Linked DNA regions of Schizosaccharomyces pombe. The protein of the gene in region 2 interacts with the protein of the main gene of each other region in a pairwise test. Each region holds a gene or a part of one and is shown on either strand. Other genes may lie near its edges.

Region 1 (6,953 bases), 2.4 Mb from region 2:
ACAAGCTAAATCTCCTGTTCTTGCATTGCAGCTAACATCTATAAAAGACGTATCTGCTTTAGATAAAGCGCATCAGGATAATTCGGAAGATTTAAATAATCCGTTTATTAAAAATAACGATAAAACTAAGTTTCATCAAAATATTGACTGGATAGCTTTAGAGAAATATTTCGAAGTCAATGCATTGGATATTTCAGATTCAGAAAGTGAAGATTTGTCCGACATATTAAGTGATTCTGAATTCTCAATAGGAAACAGAAACAAAAATATTGGAAATAATGAATATAGTGCTCAAATATCATCGGATCCTGCAGAAGAGGAGATAGCTAACGCAATGCACTCTCTAAAGCTTGAACCCGAGACATCCATATATCTGACTAACCCAGGCAGCCTTTCGTTATTGGAATACCTTCTTCGTCTCTGTTCATTGCAAGAACTTCACCAGATTTCTTGTCTTGAAATGACTGATTCTCAGTTGGCTGCGATGTTGAATAGTAACTAAGCACGGGTTAATTTGGATCAACAAGCTCATGTATTTTTACTATTGAACGAAGTTATTTCGAAATAAAATTAATTATTTTTACAGACCTTGTCTACTTAATGACACAATTAACAAACAATCGTTATATTTATAAAATTTTCATAAAAATCGGATATCAGCAATGCTGATTTCAGCCAAAGAACGTATTATTTTATTGTCATGATTAAATGACTTTCAAAATGGACTACTTATCACTTGTACTCGTATCGTTTTTGTCATAATTTTTTTATTAATTCAAATACTTTTTTAAGAAAATGCTAATTAATCCAAGTGACCATAAAAAAATGAATCATTTGTAAAATAATAAACCCTCTTGATAGCATTAACAGTTTATAAATATACAAGATCTACCAAAATCTGAGATTAAATAATAATATATAAGTTTTGCGTGCCACACACTTCATCTATTTAAAGATCAATTTAAGCGTTATACGAAAACAGAAGGAAAGAAAGATGGAGAAAATAAACATAAAGTGCAATAGGTGAGCCAGCTCATACTTATCTTGCAGAAAACTTTTAAAAAATTCATGTTGAACCTGTTGTAATATGAGAAGGAGGAACACTGCTTGAGGTATATAATGGAGAGGATGCTGCTAATTCATCGTTTGTAAGTTCATAATTATTGCTAGAATTAACTTCGTGCTTGAAAGTATGATGGAGATCAGTATGACTTATGGTTTCCTTTTCTAAAGCTGAAATATGATTTAAAGCGGCTAATGTAGTTGCATTGTTTGGATGAGTAAGACAACCTAAGCATTCACAATTATCACCGCATTGACAAGCAGCATCAGCCTGTGCACAACTAGAGGGGAGAGTAAAATAATTAGAAAGCTGGATTGGATGTGGCAGATACGATGAGTCGACATGATTAGTGCTCTCATTTATGTTAATCTCGTACCCATAGGAATTAGAGGGTCCATATGTATTAGTTGATGATGGTAAAGGTACATAATTTCCATCTGCCAGCATAGCGAAAGTCAAAGGAACATCCGGCTGTGGGTATAAATCATGCGTAGCAGCAGCAGCAGCTATAGAATCAGTGTTGTTGTTGTAAAGAATTTGATATCCACTACGATAAACAGGAGGACCATAAACCGCTGCTTCTTCCGCTTCCTGAATACTATGTTGGGGAGAATGAGAATAATTATACTGAATTTCAGGAGGGAAATTGGTCGGCTGCTGGTAAGGAGATTTTAAATAATTATTATAGTTAGGAGGGTAAGCGACATTCGAAGTTAACTTTTCAATTGGCAAAAACTGGGATGGATACCCGTACTCAGACTTGAACTTTTCTGGTTCAGGAAGCATACGATAGGATTCCGAATGTGGTCTTTGAGACTGAAGTGGCATACCCATAAAGTCAGTTTGAGACTCAAGGTTTATTTTAAGAGGCATCACATCAGGTTTTTTACCACAGCACGAAGCACTCCTTTTTGGACAATGCGTTTTAACGTTGTCGCGCGGTAACAGTTTTTCAGATATAGAGGATGGGATAGAACAAGATGAGTTGGAAGCAGATGAAGAATCTAAATCAGTTGTACTCGAGGTAGAACATTTGGAACCCTTTTTTCTGCTATTACAGGTACACTTCACGTGTAAATGCCTAGTAATTCTAGCGATTCTACATTTTTCACATTGACTGATGGGACGACCTTTAGGTCTAATAGGAAAGAGTTCACGGTCATTATGTTTGCAGGTGCTAGAGCGATGCCCACGAATGCACTTCATGCATGCCATTTTAACGTTATTGATTACAACCATTTTGGAATATAGGATGAAAGAGGATTGCTTTAATGACAAGATTTTGGTTAAAACAAATTCACGTTCGAAGATGAATGACCAAATCTCTCAAATGGAAGCTCAATGGGAGGATGTAGAAGTAATGAATAAAACCAAGAAATAAAAATAAAAATAAAAAATATTGGATTATCAAATAAGAAATTAATGAACTTATTTATATAGATGCTTAGTAGAAAAGAAAATCACGAACGAGGAGAGAAGAAAAATTGCATGCGACATTCAGTTTTGGACAACGACGATATTTGGAGCAATTGATTAGTTGAAATTAGCCACTTTTATAAGAATGAAGTGTGTTTCTTTTTTTTTTTTTAAATAAAAAGTAAGTAATTTTTACAGATCAGTAGAACTTTTTTGCTCAAACCTGATAGCAGTGTGATATACTTTCCGGATGAACTTAGGTTCACCAAATTACAACAAAATCGCCCAAAAAGCAGTTTTCAAATATTAATTAACTTAGGAAGCCAAATTTTCCTTTACTAGAAGTATATACAGTGTTCACAATGTTTTATACCAAAGCAGATTTGTTTGGTTGTCGGAAACTGGGTGTTGGCTTAACCACAGCGCAAGCTATGCCTTCCGACAATATGTACGAAGAAGCTGCTTTTTCTGAAGGCAGTAATGATACGTGACAAGTTTGCTTAAAGATTTAAACTAAAGGAAGATCAAACTATTAACAGTTTTAAGATGAAAATCGATTCTCAAGGGATTCGAAAATTTTTTTTTAAATTTATTGAATAAATAAATACATTTAAGAAGACGAGGGTATGACTTTGAAGCTTTTGAGCTGTAATTTGTAATTAAATATACATATTTTTTTCAATTTGTTTAAATTCGTTCATCATGTTAAGTCCTTTATACAGTTTATTTCTTTTATACTTCAAAAATTTATTTCCTAAATTTGATTTTGCCAATTGTGCAACTTTTTACATTACTGTTCGCGATGTAAACATTTAAGATTAAAATTTTTTTTAATTTTAATTTATACAAAGAAAATTTGCTTTAATGTCGCTATTCGAATTTATGAACAAATTTTTTCTCTTTACTTACAGATTATTTTTTGGTTTCCAACTTATACAATTTAGGTACTATTAAAAAATAAAAAATAAAGGATAAAGCTTTATTTAACACCTAGTAACTACGTTAGTACAACTTTCTTTCTTATTACATGCATACGTCTAATTATTTACCCAAACATTTGGTAACCTCCTAACCTGCCTTTGTGGAGAAGTGACTTGACTGCTTTGCTATACAAACTAGCGAAAGTATTACCTTTTTTAAAAATCATTAATGCTCCATTACGTTAATTCAGAGATAGTGTATAATTGTAGCATAACACTGGATCAGATTATTGTAGCAATACGTTAAGTGGGGGGATTGGATTCAGCAGTTGCATTTGATTAGAGGTTTGTAATCTGGGTTTAGTCTTAATTTCTTGTAATTATTCGATGGATACGTAACGATATTTGATATTATAGAAACATCTAAAATAATATTTTTTTTTAATAGCTCTACAAGTTGTGCAACATTTATAACAGAAGCAGGAAACACACTAGCAATGTAAAAAATAATAACAATGAGACGTCAATGATATCCACATCTATAATTCGTAATTGTTCAGAGGCACACTTATAAATTAAAATGAAAATAAACCATTCCTCGATATATATCAGAGTCTTGCGAATTGATTCCAAAAACGGTAATGCATTGTGAATTAAAAGTTTTGCTATAATGATGGAAAGTTCAATGAGGCTATAGAAAGCGAGTCACACTACACGAGATTCAAATAATAATACCAAAAAGGTGCTATTGACTATTAAGCGTGTCTCAGGATTACTGTCCTTTACTAATCATAAAGCTTATTAAATATTTGGTTAACACTCAAAACTCAAACTTTTAATGCTGTATTATTCTAGCCACTCATATTTGCTATATTGTATTTGTACAATGTGGGATACTTAATTTCAATTAAACTGAAGATTAAGTTGTGCTAATGTTTATAGAGTAGAGGGGTTAGTTAAGAAAGGAGTTTGTTATATATCGATGGTGAATGAGAGTCGATTGAAGGTATCAATAAACAGCAAAAAACTGAAAAATTCAAACGCATAGCACTTATTTTTACTATGTGATGTTTAAGAAAAAATGTAATGAAAAGTTTAAAGTGGGGAAAGAAGGTTCTTACCAATATTCTGCACATCTGTCTCTAGTAAAACCCAATAACGTACCTTGTCCACTGAATCAAGCTTGCCCGGGTATTTCGTTGCATAGCTATGAATGAGGGATACGAAAACAGTCCCGCTTAATATATAAAAAACACGACTATTTTAAAAATTTTATTTACTTCGTACAAACTAGTGAAACATCTAAAATTGTTTAAAATTTACACAATAGTGTGTATAACGAAACTAGCTAAACTTTGTTTATGTAATGTGAGAAAGTATGTAATACTATATTACAGCAGGTTGCTTATAAAAACGTCACCACACAACAGTCCTTTAACCTTCGCTTTGTCTACATTATTGAAGTTATAAACCCCAAGAAAAAGTATTTTTGCATTTTTGTATACACAAATCAAATTTTAAGGGAAATTTTTTAACACGGTACTTTTCGTTTTTTTGTCTAATTGTTTCAGGGTAGTACATTCTCAAATAATCCAAAGCCGGGGTCTTTTGGGTTGTAATAGTTATTTACATAAAATTGTTGACTAAATATTTCAGAGAGAATTCATTATTCTTACTTTTGAATCCCTTTTCAAATATAAAATTGGTTCCTTGTGTTAGAGATGAATATTCTCTCAAGGAAAGAAAATGTCGCTTCCTACTTCGATATTCGTGTAGCTGCAGAGCATGATCTTATCGTAATTCAAGGCCTAGCAGACTCGGCAGAACCGACACCACTGTCAGGATCTGTAGTTCTGTGTCTCAATGAAGCCATCAGTGTCAAAGCAATATCTCTAAAACTAGTGGGAAAATGTCGCATCTCCTGGTCAGAACCTTCTCCGACTGTAAGAGGCGGCCAAAGACACAATAAGCAAGAATATGTTGTTTACGAGAAAAACTGGATCTTCGTTCCTTATACGGGTGCCAACCGTACTTTACGTGCTGGAAACTACGAGTATCCGTTTCACGTAATGCTTCCCGGTGATATTGCTGAATCTGTCGAAGGTCTTCAAAGTTGCTATGTTGTTTATCGTCTTAAAGCAAGCATCGATAGAACGGGTTTAGCTAGCAAAATGGTGAAAAAGAAACACATCCGTCTTATTCGAGCATTGCCTGCGGATGCCATTGAATATACTCAAACCATTAGCGTTGATAATACTTGGCCAAACAAAATTGAGTATACCATCAGCGTTCCAACAAAAGCCTATGCAATTGGGTCATATATTCCCATTCATTTTGTATTAGTTCCGTTGCTGAAGAGGCTAACTATTGGAAAAATCAGTATAACCTTGAAAGAATACATCACGTTGCATGTCGCTCATGGATATAACGGTTTACCGGCATCGAAAGATGAAGTCAGGACCGTTCGTTCTCTTCAAACCGAAGAATTGGAGGAGTTTTCCGATCACTATGAACTTACAAAGAACTTGGAACTACCAAGTTCTCTTGTGGAATGTCTTCAGGATTGTGATTTGGATGGAATTAAAATACGTCACAAATTAAAGTTTTCCGTTTCCCTAAGAAATCCTGATGGCCATATATCAGAATTAAGAGCTGCATTACCTGTAGTCTTGATGATACCTCCTCAATTATTTGGCGATCGTGCCGAAGTAGAGTCGTTACGCGAGAATTTTGAAAGTTTTAATCAGCCTTTACCTAGCTATCAAAACAGCATGTATGATCGTCTTTACGATGGTTTGAGCTATTCCAACCTTGATACACCTCTCCCTAGTGGCGCAACTACACCAAGGCGACGCGATTCTATGGAGCCCACCTATGCTTCTAATGAAGCTCATAGGCGACAACTCATTGCTGGTTTGACAGAGTTGGCTCTACAACAACAACCGCAAGGAAGGAGCCCCAACGAACATTCACCGTCAAATCATCCTGAAGATTTCCCGCCTTCTTTCAGTTTAGGCTCTAATCCATCCAGTGGAGCTGCCTCTGCTGTAATTACTAGAAACCCTTCAGAAACTAGTTTGGCAGATCTGAGCAGAGTCCCTTCTTATAAGGAAGCAACAAGATCAGCCGTTCCATTAGAATCACCCTTACAATCAACATTACCTAGTTATGAAGATGTTGCACGAATTGAGCACCTTTCACGTCCTCCATCACCTGGTATCGTTACTCCACCACAACGTACATCTCCTTCATTTTTTGTTTCTCCAACTGAAAGTACACGACAATCCTTGGATAGTCGTAGGTCATTCGAACACTCCACATCTTCTTCTTCGGGTATAAGCCCATCTCACAGTAGTGCTTCTTTAGCTCATCTTTCTCAAGCCTCCAATCCAAATGGATCGTCTTCTGCCCCGCATAGGCCCACATCAGCTCGTGTAGGAAGTCACCGAAACGCACTAGACGCTTTAAGACGGGCGCGTATGCTTCCATCTGGATTTTCAAGAAGAAATTGAAGTTTTGAGCACTATTTTTAAATTTTTGCGCAAACATCGGAA
Region 2 (10,575 bases):
TTGGGTGACATTTCGACATCTTCAAGTTTCTGCGTTCTCTCTTTCTATTTACCATTCGATAATTAGGGATGCGTCGCGTTTCGAGTTCTTTTCCTTTCTGCCAAATATTTCCATTCTTTTTAACATCTTTTGTCTAGTTCGTGTGGTTTGCGTCTAGTTCAAAGTAATAATTTCTTGTTTCTAAAACAACCCCAATCTACTTGAACAAAAGTTAGTAAAGTTTGGACGGATATTTCAAGCTCGATGGAACGCTCCTTTTTCTACGTGTTCCTTTTTTCCTAACTTTCTACAAAGTTTTCTCATATTCTTTTACTTGTGAGTTTGATAGGCATTTACCTTAATGTACATATTATTATCGTCTATCATGTATTAATTGCTCGCGTAAACTTTGGTTTGTTGTTTCAGTGGATCAGAATGAGTTGAATGGCATTTGAAGGATGATCATTATATAAATATAGATATATATACTTATGTATGTGCTTTCAACAACTATTTGTGCATGTATTGAACCGACTTTGTATGGTCGTTTTTGAAGTGTTTTAGTTTTAAATTCTTGCTTTTAGTCATTGTGGAGATATAAGATTTGCATTTTTGTGTTTGACAATTTGAATTGAAATGTAAGTATAAAACATTTATTATTGGATTGTACGTCCAGTTATTGATTTTCATTTTCAAAGCAGGCGCACAGCAAACTTAACTGTTTGTTCTTGAGTTGTTACCAATTTTCATTAAGATAATTTAGTAGATTTTTTAATAATGTCTAGTGATTGTCGTAATAATATTTTGCAGAATTTGGTGTATAGTAACTTTTGGGTCCATTGCTTTCTGTGCGTATCATACCTTCAAGTTGGTGATACCTTACTATAAGCCATCACACTTTGGTACCAAAAAGTTTGTTAATTTACCAGAATTCAAAGGATTGATGAAGGTTAACGACTTCTTTTATTAATTTTTTATCCAAAGCTAAGCAATTTTTGAAATTATTTGCAGTTAAATCTATATATTGAATCATTCGTAAACGAGTTTGGAGAACTCATTTTGGAAAAGAGCAAGCATACAGCATGAATCCATACAGACCATATGTCGTGGTTAACAATGTTGAGCCTACTTTTTCGATAACTCCAGAACCAACGTTTGAGACGCAACCGACCATAAGCAAGAGTGAGATTTTTGAGACACTCAGAAGTATTCTAGTGACCAAATATTTAACGACGTTTTTTGTACAGCCATTGGAAGTAGCAAAAACTGTCTGTCAAGTAGAAGAATATTTACCAAAACGAACTAAAATTGAGCGTGATGGGAAACAAACAAAGGAGCCTTATGATGAGGATATTCCCGATGGCACAGAACAGGAAGGTCTCAGTGATGATGAACACGAAATCTATGCTTACTTTGAAACACCTACCACAGAAAAGGCAGTAACAGAACAGCTAGCTGAGAAACTTTGCGTCGATGCGTCTGGCTATGTAACTGATCCTTCGAATCTCATCGAGAGAAGCTATACAATTCATTCGAAAAGATTTTCGATTAAAAGTATCATTAGTGAGCTATGGGAGAAAGAAGGAGCTAGGGGTTTATGGAAAGGTCATACAATCAGCTTTTTGCATAACTTACTTTATTCCGGCCTACAGTCCTGGCTTTCGGCAACATTATCTGGAGCTCTCGCAATAGCAGATCCAAACATTATTTCACCTATAGATTCTGTTCGGCCTCTTCTTTCCCTTTTCATCAAATCCATTACTTCTGCGATCTCTGCTCTTATTCTATCTCCCCTTGATATTGCCAGAACAAAAATAATTCTTTTCCCCATTTCCTCATCTTCCTATTTGTCTTCAGCTTCTGAAACTTCTGGCAATTCGCATAAAAAATTTAAACCTCTTACTATCAGACAATGCTTGAAAGCATTGCCTTTTTACTGCCCTTCATCGTTAATTTTACCCACAGTTTGTTATGTCAGCTTACCACCATTTGTTTCGAGTGTGCTTCCACTAACATTCCGCAACTTTTTGGGCTCATCTCCTACACTTGATGCAATGGTTGGCTTGGGCACTTCAGCCGTTCAATTTCTTCTCAAATGCCCTTTAGAAATGGTACTTCGAAGAGCACAAGCCCAGTATGAATGCAACCTTCCACCCCAAACTATCGTTCCCGTAGGCAAATACACTGGTATCGTCGGTACCATATGGTGTCTTTTAAGCGAAGAAGATCCGGGTAAATTTGGAATAGAAGGTTTGTATCGTGGATGGCGAGTGGGTATTTGGGGAATGTCGAGTACCTTAGCATTGAACTACATCTCCTCTAATTTGCGTGAAGAAGTTGAATTTTAGTATTCAGGTTTTGGGTCTGATTGTCTGTTTATTAGACAAAGTCAGAAGAGACGAAAGTTCACATGGTAAATTACGGAATTCTCAAAAAGGTTTTAGTTAGGTGATGTTTTGTAATTTGGAATTTTTTTTATTCCAAATTACTACACGAATAGTCATATTTGTAGTTGTAAGTTTGATTTATGTTTAATGTTTTCGTTTTTCTTTCTTACCGTATTCTCTAACGGAATAGTAGTAGCTACATAATTTATTAAAGGTAATAATACATTTTCTAGAAGCAAAAACGTAGTTATGTGAAAATACGTTGGTGTTTCCTTTAGCAAGGTTGCATAACGCCAGCATTCAATAAAAAGGACTTCAACGTCGCATTGAGATCTCTTACACGAGACTTCATAGTGTTATTCAAGTATAGCTGCTCGTTCAATTTATAAACAGTATAAAAAATGAGGCAACCCAAATCCTTACAATGCTTTAATTTTCTAATTTACAACACTGCACGGAAAGTTGAATCTCTAAAGACTTTATGCTTTTTTATTACTTTTTTATATAGTTTGAATTGCAATCAATAACAACTGGCGCCATCATTTTGCTATCTAACACGTTGAATTACGGGCCATGTCATGTCAAAAACCCTTCTTGCTTTTCAAAAAAAAAAAAAAGAAAAAAAAGGAATTAAGTAAACTTCTCAAGTAACAGGGATAAATAACATCCACAATTAAGTCAATAGTAAAAGATACCAAATATATAATTCCTTTCATATTTTAAAGTTCTAAGCTTAAATACGTTTTTGCTGAAGAATATCATAGTTCTTCCTCCTCCATAGTAGGCATATCGACAGGTTTGATCATACCAGGAACAGTCATAGCTTTCTCCAGTTGGGCTTTTTGTTGAGCAGCCAACTCTTGTTCTTTCTCCTCCAAGTAAAGTTCAGCGTTATCCCCGCCGAATTCTTTCAATTGAATTAAAAAGTCACGTAAAGCAAGTTTAAATTTGATGCTGTCCTGATTAAGAGCTAGCACTGTCTGTACAAATTCTTGGATTTGGATAGGTTGAAGATGGGGGAAAGCTGTGACTAGTAGATTCATGATATACTGTCTTAAAAATAATTGATTGTTCATTTCCTGGGGGAATTGAGAAGGATCGTAGAGAGGTACAGTAATCTGGTTTGATTCAACCAGATAGAAAAGCCGAGCCAAAATTAAGCTTTGAAGCTTAAAGCCAGATTTGTGATCAGAGTCAGTCAAAACATACAATATATCTTGTAGTAAGCTAATATAATAAGTTTGGAAAAATGCATTTGAAACATCAGGTCCCATACTCGCCATGTTATTAATAAGTTCAAGTAAGATGTTAAGTCCGGTTTCTTGAATGTCGCGACTAACATGCTTAAAGGACCATACAATACTATTGATCACTAGTTTGAATTGTGGTGCCGGGATGTTGAGCAAAGCGGGGAAACAATTCAAGTTAATGGCGCGTAAAAGTTGAAAAAATGCTGCACGATGTTCGGGGTATTCCGAAAAATCTTTACTAATCATTTCAAGGGTGCATCCAAAAACAGCATCAAGAACAAGAGGAATCTTATCAGTAAGGAGTTCGCTAAGTTGATTGACAATGGTGGTTATCAAATTAAGAACTTCGGCATCACGAGCGTCAGGAACATTTTGTAAATAATCAAGCAACACTGCTTCGAAAAGCGCAGGAATGAGAGTATTTCCGACCAACTCCAAATCTTCCGCTCGACTTATATAAGCATCTACTAATTTCAAAATTTCTTTTTTGATAGTTCGTAATCCCCTGACGTGGGGAGTTTTGGTAGCAATATTTCCTTGGGCAGCAACCACTTCTGATATTAAACCGCTAACAGCCTTGTAAAGACCAAGCATATCTACATAATTTTTAGCAATTTGAGGATAGAAACCGGAACCAATAGAAGTACATGCAGCAACGTTTGTCTTTAGAACATTTGCTAATATTTTAACGGTCTGAGGGTCCCCTAAAACTTGAGCGTTTTGTGCAGCCTGAGCGACAATATTTTCCCAGGCCTGATTGGGTAACGCCATAAGGTCAAAAATGAGACGTTCTTGAAGATGTTTTTGAGGTTGAGCAGAAATCATATAACCGCACGCCTCATAAAAAGTATGAGTCTGTTGAGGAGTTAAATCTTCAGTCGTCTTGGCCAAGTTACGAATAATTTCGTTGATAAACGGCTCCGTTTCTCCCAGTTGTTGAGCAACAAAATGGCGACGACATTTTTGAGCAATCTTAATGAATGTATCACAAGCCATATCCTGAACACCTTCATGATATTCGTGCATAAACTCAAATAGCTTATTGACGACGGTCTTGAGAAATTTCCAATGAGCTTTTAAAAAGCGAGGATATTGACCTACAACGTACATAATGTTAGAGGCAACAACAGCCTTATTATCTTTGCCACGTTTCATTTCACAAAGGCCCAATAAATCTTTAATCACGTTAACAAGAAAGCGCTTTTCCATTTCTTCATTCATAGCACCGGATATTGAGCCGATTGCCCAACAAAGAGTATTCAAATTTTGCCAAGACCATTCTGTACCAACAACAATACGTGCAAGTTTTTCAGTCATAACGATTTCAGTATCAACCACGTCCAAGTGAGTGAGGTACACAAGAACCTCACGCATAGATTTATAAAGGGTAATTGTATCCGTCTCTTTAACAAATTCACGAACAATTTCACCTTCGTCATTTTCGACGATGAGGACTTCTTCGGGCTTGACCATGTTTTCAATCATAACCAATCGAAGAGTTGAAAGTATATCTTTATAGATATGTTTCCTTAAAGGAAGATTGGCTAACATATTAGGATTAGAAGAAATGAGAGATGTAGGACTAGAAAGATTAAGTAATGGATTCATTTCAGACATGGGGATTTGCTGCATTTCTTCATAAAGCTGAGCTACTAATTTTGACCAATATTCCAGGCAGATCTTGAAAATTTCTCGCTCGTTAATTCGCGAGATATTAAGAAGGTAGGAATGAGCATTAAGAAGGACTTCTTGATTTTCAGGATTTTCTAATGGTCGAAGATGAGAGCTAAAGAAAGCGCAAAGGAAGAGAGCCAAATTTTGGATAAAGTCTTGCTCGTTTGTGCTACTTTCTTCATAAGCCTCACGAAAATCAGTTTGTAAAGGAAGCATAGAATTAACAGAGGTCATCACAAGGTTAAACATTGTAACAAATTTATCGTTGTACTGAGGTTGAGAAGTAAGACTAGCTATTTCGGTAAGACATTCAATGGTAACGTTTCTAAAATCAGGAACATTTAGGAATCGATTTGTAATTAACTCAACAATGTTTGTTTCAAATATATAGCCAAGGGGTATCCAATTCAAAAATCGGAGAAGTGTTCCCAAGGTAGCCTTGATTAGGCTAGGTTTTTGCGCACGTTCGAGAATTTGTGAGCATAGTTGAAAAATCTCGGCGAATTCGCCACACATTTGGTTTTTTAAATTTTTGGTTTTGAGCTGAGTCATTTGCTCAGCTGAGTAATCAAAAATTTCTTCACTCAGAAGACGAAGGACTATCATGTTATTTTCACAAAGTGAAAGGTTTGTTTTACTGGCTTGGACAATTTCCGGGATGAAGTTGGGCCAATTATGAGGCCATTCTTGTTTAAGAATCTGAACGAGAGTGAGGTCCAATTTATTAAGAAAAGTTTTTTGTTGTTGCAGGACAGTTTCGTCTGACGAGTTCTTTATCATAACAGCAACAATATAATTGCGAATTCCCAATCGCTGCTCCTTGGGAAGCATTTTCCAACGAGTGGTGATAAGCTTGTCAAGGACGGAAAGAGCGATATATTTAGTTTGGGGATATTCTGATTTTTCCAAGATGGAGTAAGCCTGCGACCATGCATCTGGATGTGCCTGAAATTGGGTCAGGACTTGTTGAGCCTGTTGTTGCTCTGCACCGACACCTTGGTAAAAGGTTTGGACAACACGATCCAAAAGGGCAACGTCTAATTCGCGATCGAATGCCAGGATGCCCTCCATATTTACAAATCAAAAAGCAAAAAATGTAAATTGATGGTTGGCAACGTATTGAACAAATGTCTTAAGTAAAAAGAAAAGGATAATTACCTCAACCTTATGCGATTGTATATGTATAAAGGACTTCAGCAATCAAGTTAGAAATTTGAAAAAAAAAATAAAAAAAAGTAGAAGAAAAATTAATTTTATCGAATAGAAACAAAATAATATAAATTTTTAATCTCCTACTTGCTGATTAATTACTCCTCCCTTGCAAAAATAATAGAGAAAAAACAATAATTAACTCAAACAAGAGATCGAAGAACAGGAAATCGAAAGATAACAAGATCCTTCCTAAAAGAAGACCAAGGAAAATAACACGTATCTACACGAGCGTTCAAAGTGCTTACCTCCTTACTATAAATAAAAACCAAATAAATATTCCAAATTCTCTTGTTTATAACGAAATTCCTCGTCCCAAGAGATGCTTCACGCGATAGAAATTTGTCTTGTACTCAATGGAAACAAGAGAATGAAAGAATGTATACAGTTAAAGGCTACTGCCTAACGTCCCAGGGTAGAAATGCAAAAGAACAAGTGTTGTGTTGGAGGTAAAAGGTGTGGCCGCAAGGCTGGCAAAGAAACACGAAGAAGAATAGCAAGCATGCAGCGTATCCAATCGTTTTGCGTTATCTATTTTAAGGAAATTTAACAACGTGATTATAGGCAGAAATTGATGGGAATGAAGTAAACATAAAATGGAACGAGAATGATGGCGATAAAACTGAGTGTATCAGCAGATTGCAATTTTTTAAAAAAATGGTATTAGTTTTGAAACAAAATTTACTTCCTCCGGTAAGACGTTCGGTCGTTTCCGTGAATGGGAGAAATGCGGTAAGAATTTGATCGTAACGTCCGCGTTTAAACCAGAAATAAATGTGTCGTACGTGGATTTTTCTGTTTGTTTGTTTTGAAGTATTTAGCAAAGACAGGTCATTTGAAAAACATCAATTTATTTTTTTAAATTTTTTTATTATGAATTATTAGGTATTTTATGGTTTAATTATCAATTTACAAGTCAACGAGTAAATCAAAACAGAAGGAAAGTTTATCATTCAGTAAATTAAAAATTGTTATGAATTTAAAAAAATTGAATTACAGCTAGAATCATGTTTCCAAATTATTTTAACCAAGTTTATGGAACATCGGCACGAAATAATATACTTATTACTAAAGATTTGCCATTTCATTGTGCTTTAGTAATTCGCCTTTTTTGCTTTAACTCCTATAGCCACACAACAAAGATGTTGCTTATGTAAATAAAGGCGACTTTCCGTATGAAATGCTTCGCGGTTACAGCCACAATTCTATATGGAAATAGAAAAGAATGAAAATTGAATTAAACTGATCATGTTCGTTATTAACTCGCAGTTACCCGACATTTAGTGTGTTAAATAAAGAAAAGGGAAGGAAAAAAAAATCATTAAACCAAATATTGACCTTTGGAGTTGGCATGGCTCTCAAGGTATAAAAAATCCAATGCATTTTTTTTAACTAATTTATACGATTTTAGTCAGGTTGTGTACATATACTCTAATAAACCCAGACAATTTACAGTACACGCAACTATTTTTATAGATATATACCTCTATTTAATTAGTTTGTACAATTAAGCGGCTATGCCCGAGTGGTCTAAGGGGGCAGATTTAAGAGGCTTCTGCCTTGATCCCTGCTGTTGTAAAACGCGAGAGTTCGAACCTCTCTGGCCGCATTATATTTTACATTTTTAAATGTAAAATTAACGTGTTTTTGATTTACAGTTGAACTAAATTTTTTTCAAATTTGTTGAACATTTTGCTTTTGTTTATTCTTTTTTTTTCTTCTTTTTCATTATTCTTATCTGCAACATTTCCTTATCAAGCACGAAGAAAATTTGAATTGATAGGCGCTTTCATCCGACCAGCACTGTCCTAAATATCGCATTTGTTTGCCAAAGCCCGTATATAAATTATGTATTTCGGTGACTTTTTGTAATACCGGTTTCTGCTTTTCTGTGATATGTTGAAGTAATAACATTTGTAGAAGTATTTATATAGACCATTTCTTACTTAATTCCCTGTAACAATTGTTGGATTCAATTCTGTGTTTTCCAATTACTCTGTTCTCACGGCTAATATTAATTTTATTACACATATATTCAGCAAAAAACAAAAACAAAACAAAATTAAATTAAGCATAGCATCAAGTGTGTGCCAAAAAATCGTCGTTTTCTATTTATTTTTTACTATTTTGTTTTGATATTCTATAAAGGTCAATTGCCAAGATACTCCCAGCTCTTCGTCTTTGCTTGCACATTATTCAAAACTCTGTGCATTCTATTGTTTGTATTTCAGTTAGTATTGTTATTGCTATCGATTTTCCCATCTAATTTTCAAAACAAATTAACACTGATTCTATCGGCCCTATTTACCCACCACTGCATATTTTTAAAATTCCTTAAATTCTTTTTCCTGGCTACTAATACGCCTAATAAATATTAAAGATAAAGAATTCCCTTTTAGATATTAGTTCTTGCTTTCTTTTTTTATACAAAATTTCTGTTTTTTTTTTCGAAACTCTTCTGTAACAACAATGACTGCTACATCTTTTCTTCACCAGGCAAAACAGCAACCCCATCATACTGAACCTTACATTAAAGCGCTTGAGGCTCGTGAATACATCATTGAACAAGTCCCCGAAGAGCTTTCCAAGCCCAAAGTTGCCATCATTTGCGGTAGCGGTTTGGGCACATTAGCCTCTGGATTGTCGGCTCCAGTTTATGAAGTTCCTTATGAAGATATTCCTCACTTTCATGTTTCCCATGTTCCAGGTCACGCATCCAAATTGTACTTTGCCTTTTTGGGCGAGAAACGCGTTCCCACTATGATTTTGGCTGGTCGTTACCACTCTTATGAGGGATATCCTATAGAAGCTACCACGTTTCCTGTTCGTCTTATGAAAGTCATGGGCGTTGAAGTCATGGTTGTTACCAACGCAGCTGGCGGCTTGAATCAAGGTTTCAAAGTTGGTGATTTGATGATTCTTAAAGATCACATCAATTTTCCTGGCCTCGCGGGCATGAACCCTCTCAGAGGCCCTAATGCACACGAATTTGGTGTACGTTTCCCCCCATTATCGGATGCTTATGATTTAGAATTACGAAAATTGGTTTACGATGCTGCCAAGGCTCACAAGGTTAGCCGTACAATTCACGAAGGTTGTTATGCATTTGTATCTGGTCCGTGTTTTGAGACTCGCGCTGAAAGTCGAATGCTTGCTCTTATGGGAGCTGATTGTGTCGGCATGTCTACGGTTCCCGAAGTAGTCGTTGCGCGTCATTGTGGTATTCGTGTTCTTGCCATTTCTTTGGTTACCAACAACGTTGTTGTTGAAGAGAGCCCCTCTGCCAAAGACTTAGTGGAGGTTGATTCGAATGTCATGTCTAAGGGTGCTGCAAATCACTTGGAGGTTTTGGAAGTTGGTATCGCTGCCGCGGCCGATGTTCGTACCATGGTGGAGACGATTGTCAATTTTATTTAATCACTCCTCTTTGACAATCTTTTTTATCCAGAATAAAAATTTCCTTTATCTGTTATACATCCTTTTAAGCTATTTTATTTATCTAACGTAGGATATATATCCTAGTCATTTCGCTTATTTTGATGTCTGTAAATTAGATGTTTTGTTGCCATTCAATATCTTTTCCAAAATATCCTTTTACTCATCAATAACCGTTTCTTGCTTTCTTTAAACGAACTCACTAGACAATATTTCCTAAATGTCGTTTGTGTTATTTTCCAAACACCAATTAGGAAATATTTGTTTTTAGTATACAAAGTTCCCTGGTCACCTCTAGACTTATTTTTTTATAGTTAATGATACATTTCGCTTCAAATTTCTTAAATTATTAATTTAGAGTCATATTGCCTTAAAACTTTTTGATAATAAACCTGTTGCTTTCTTATTGTAACGATATCCTTCTACCACTATCGCAATACCCTTTCAAAAAAATAACGCGGTCCAAAAACATTTCGCTAATCAAATTTATGGTAGTTTACCAATCTCTCTTGGATCCGTAATTGTTTCATCTTTTTCCACCATATTATTGAAAGCAAGTTTTCTTCGAATTGCTCGCAAAATTCAGTCCTTTTTTTACATTTTATGTATTAAGATTTGGTCTTGCATTAAGAAGATTAAAA

What was found.
Region 1: the proteins of crm1 (region 2) and cuf1 interact in a two-hybrid assay, tested with the Schizosaccharomyces pombe proteins (one study listed by BioGRID).

The regions. Positions count from the first base shown.
Region 1 is NC_003424.3:406,964-413,916, forward strand, and holds cuf1 (Cu-sensing transcription factor Cuf1), read right to left. Parts: upstream 2,883-6,953; 5' UTR 2,303-2,882; coding exon 1,067-2,302; 3' UTR 751-1,066; downstream 1-750. Other genes in the region: SPOM_SPAC31A2.10 (Ran GTPase binding protein), read left to right, coding at 1-502; rod1 (arrestin/PY protein 1), read left to right, coding at 5,121-6,911. UniProt on the Schizosaccharomyces pombe protein: Copper-sensing transcription factor that regulates iron uptake genes. Under copper starvation conditions activates the transcription of the copper transport genes, ctr4, ctr5 and ctr6.
Region 2 is NC_003424.3:2,800,294-2,810,868, reverse strand, and holds crm1 (karyopherin/importin beta family nuclear export signal receptor Crm1), read right to left. Parts: upstream 6,946-10,575; 5' UTR 6,748-6,945; intron 6,482-6,747; 5' UTR 6,362-6,481; coding exon 3,125-6,361; 3' UTR 2,616-3,124; downstream 1-2,615. Other genes in the region: transport protein Ugo1, read left to right, coding at 1,062-2,327; SPOM_SPAC1805.16C (purine nucleoside phosphorylase), read left to right, coding at 8,969-9,916.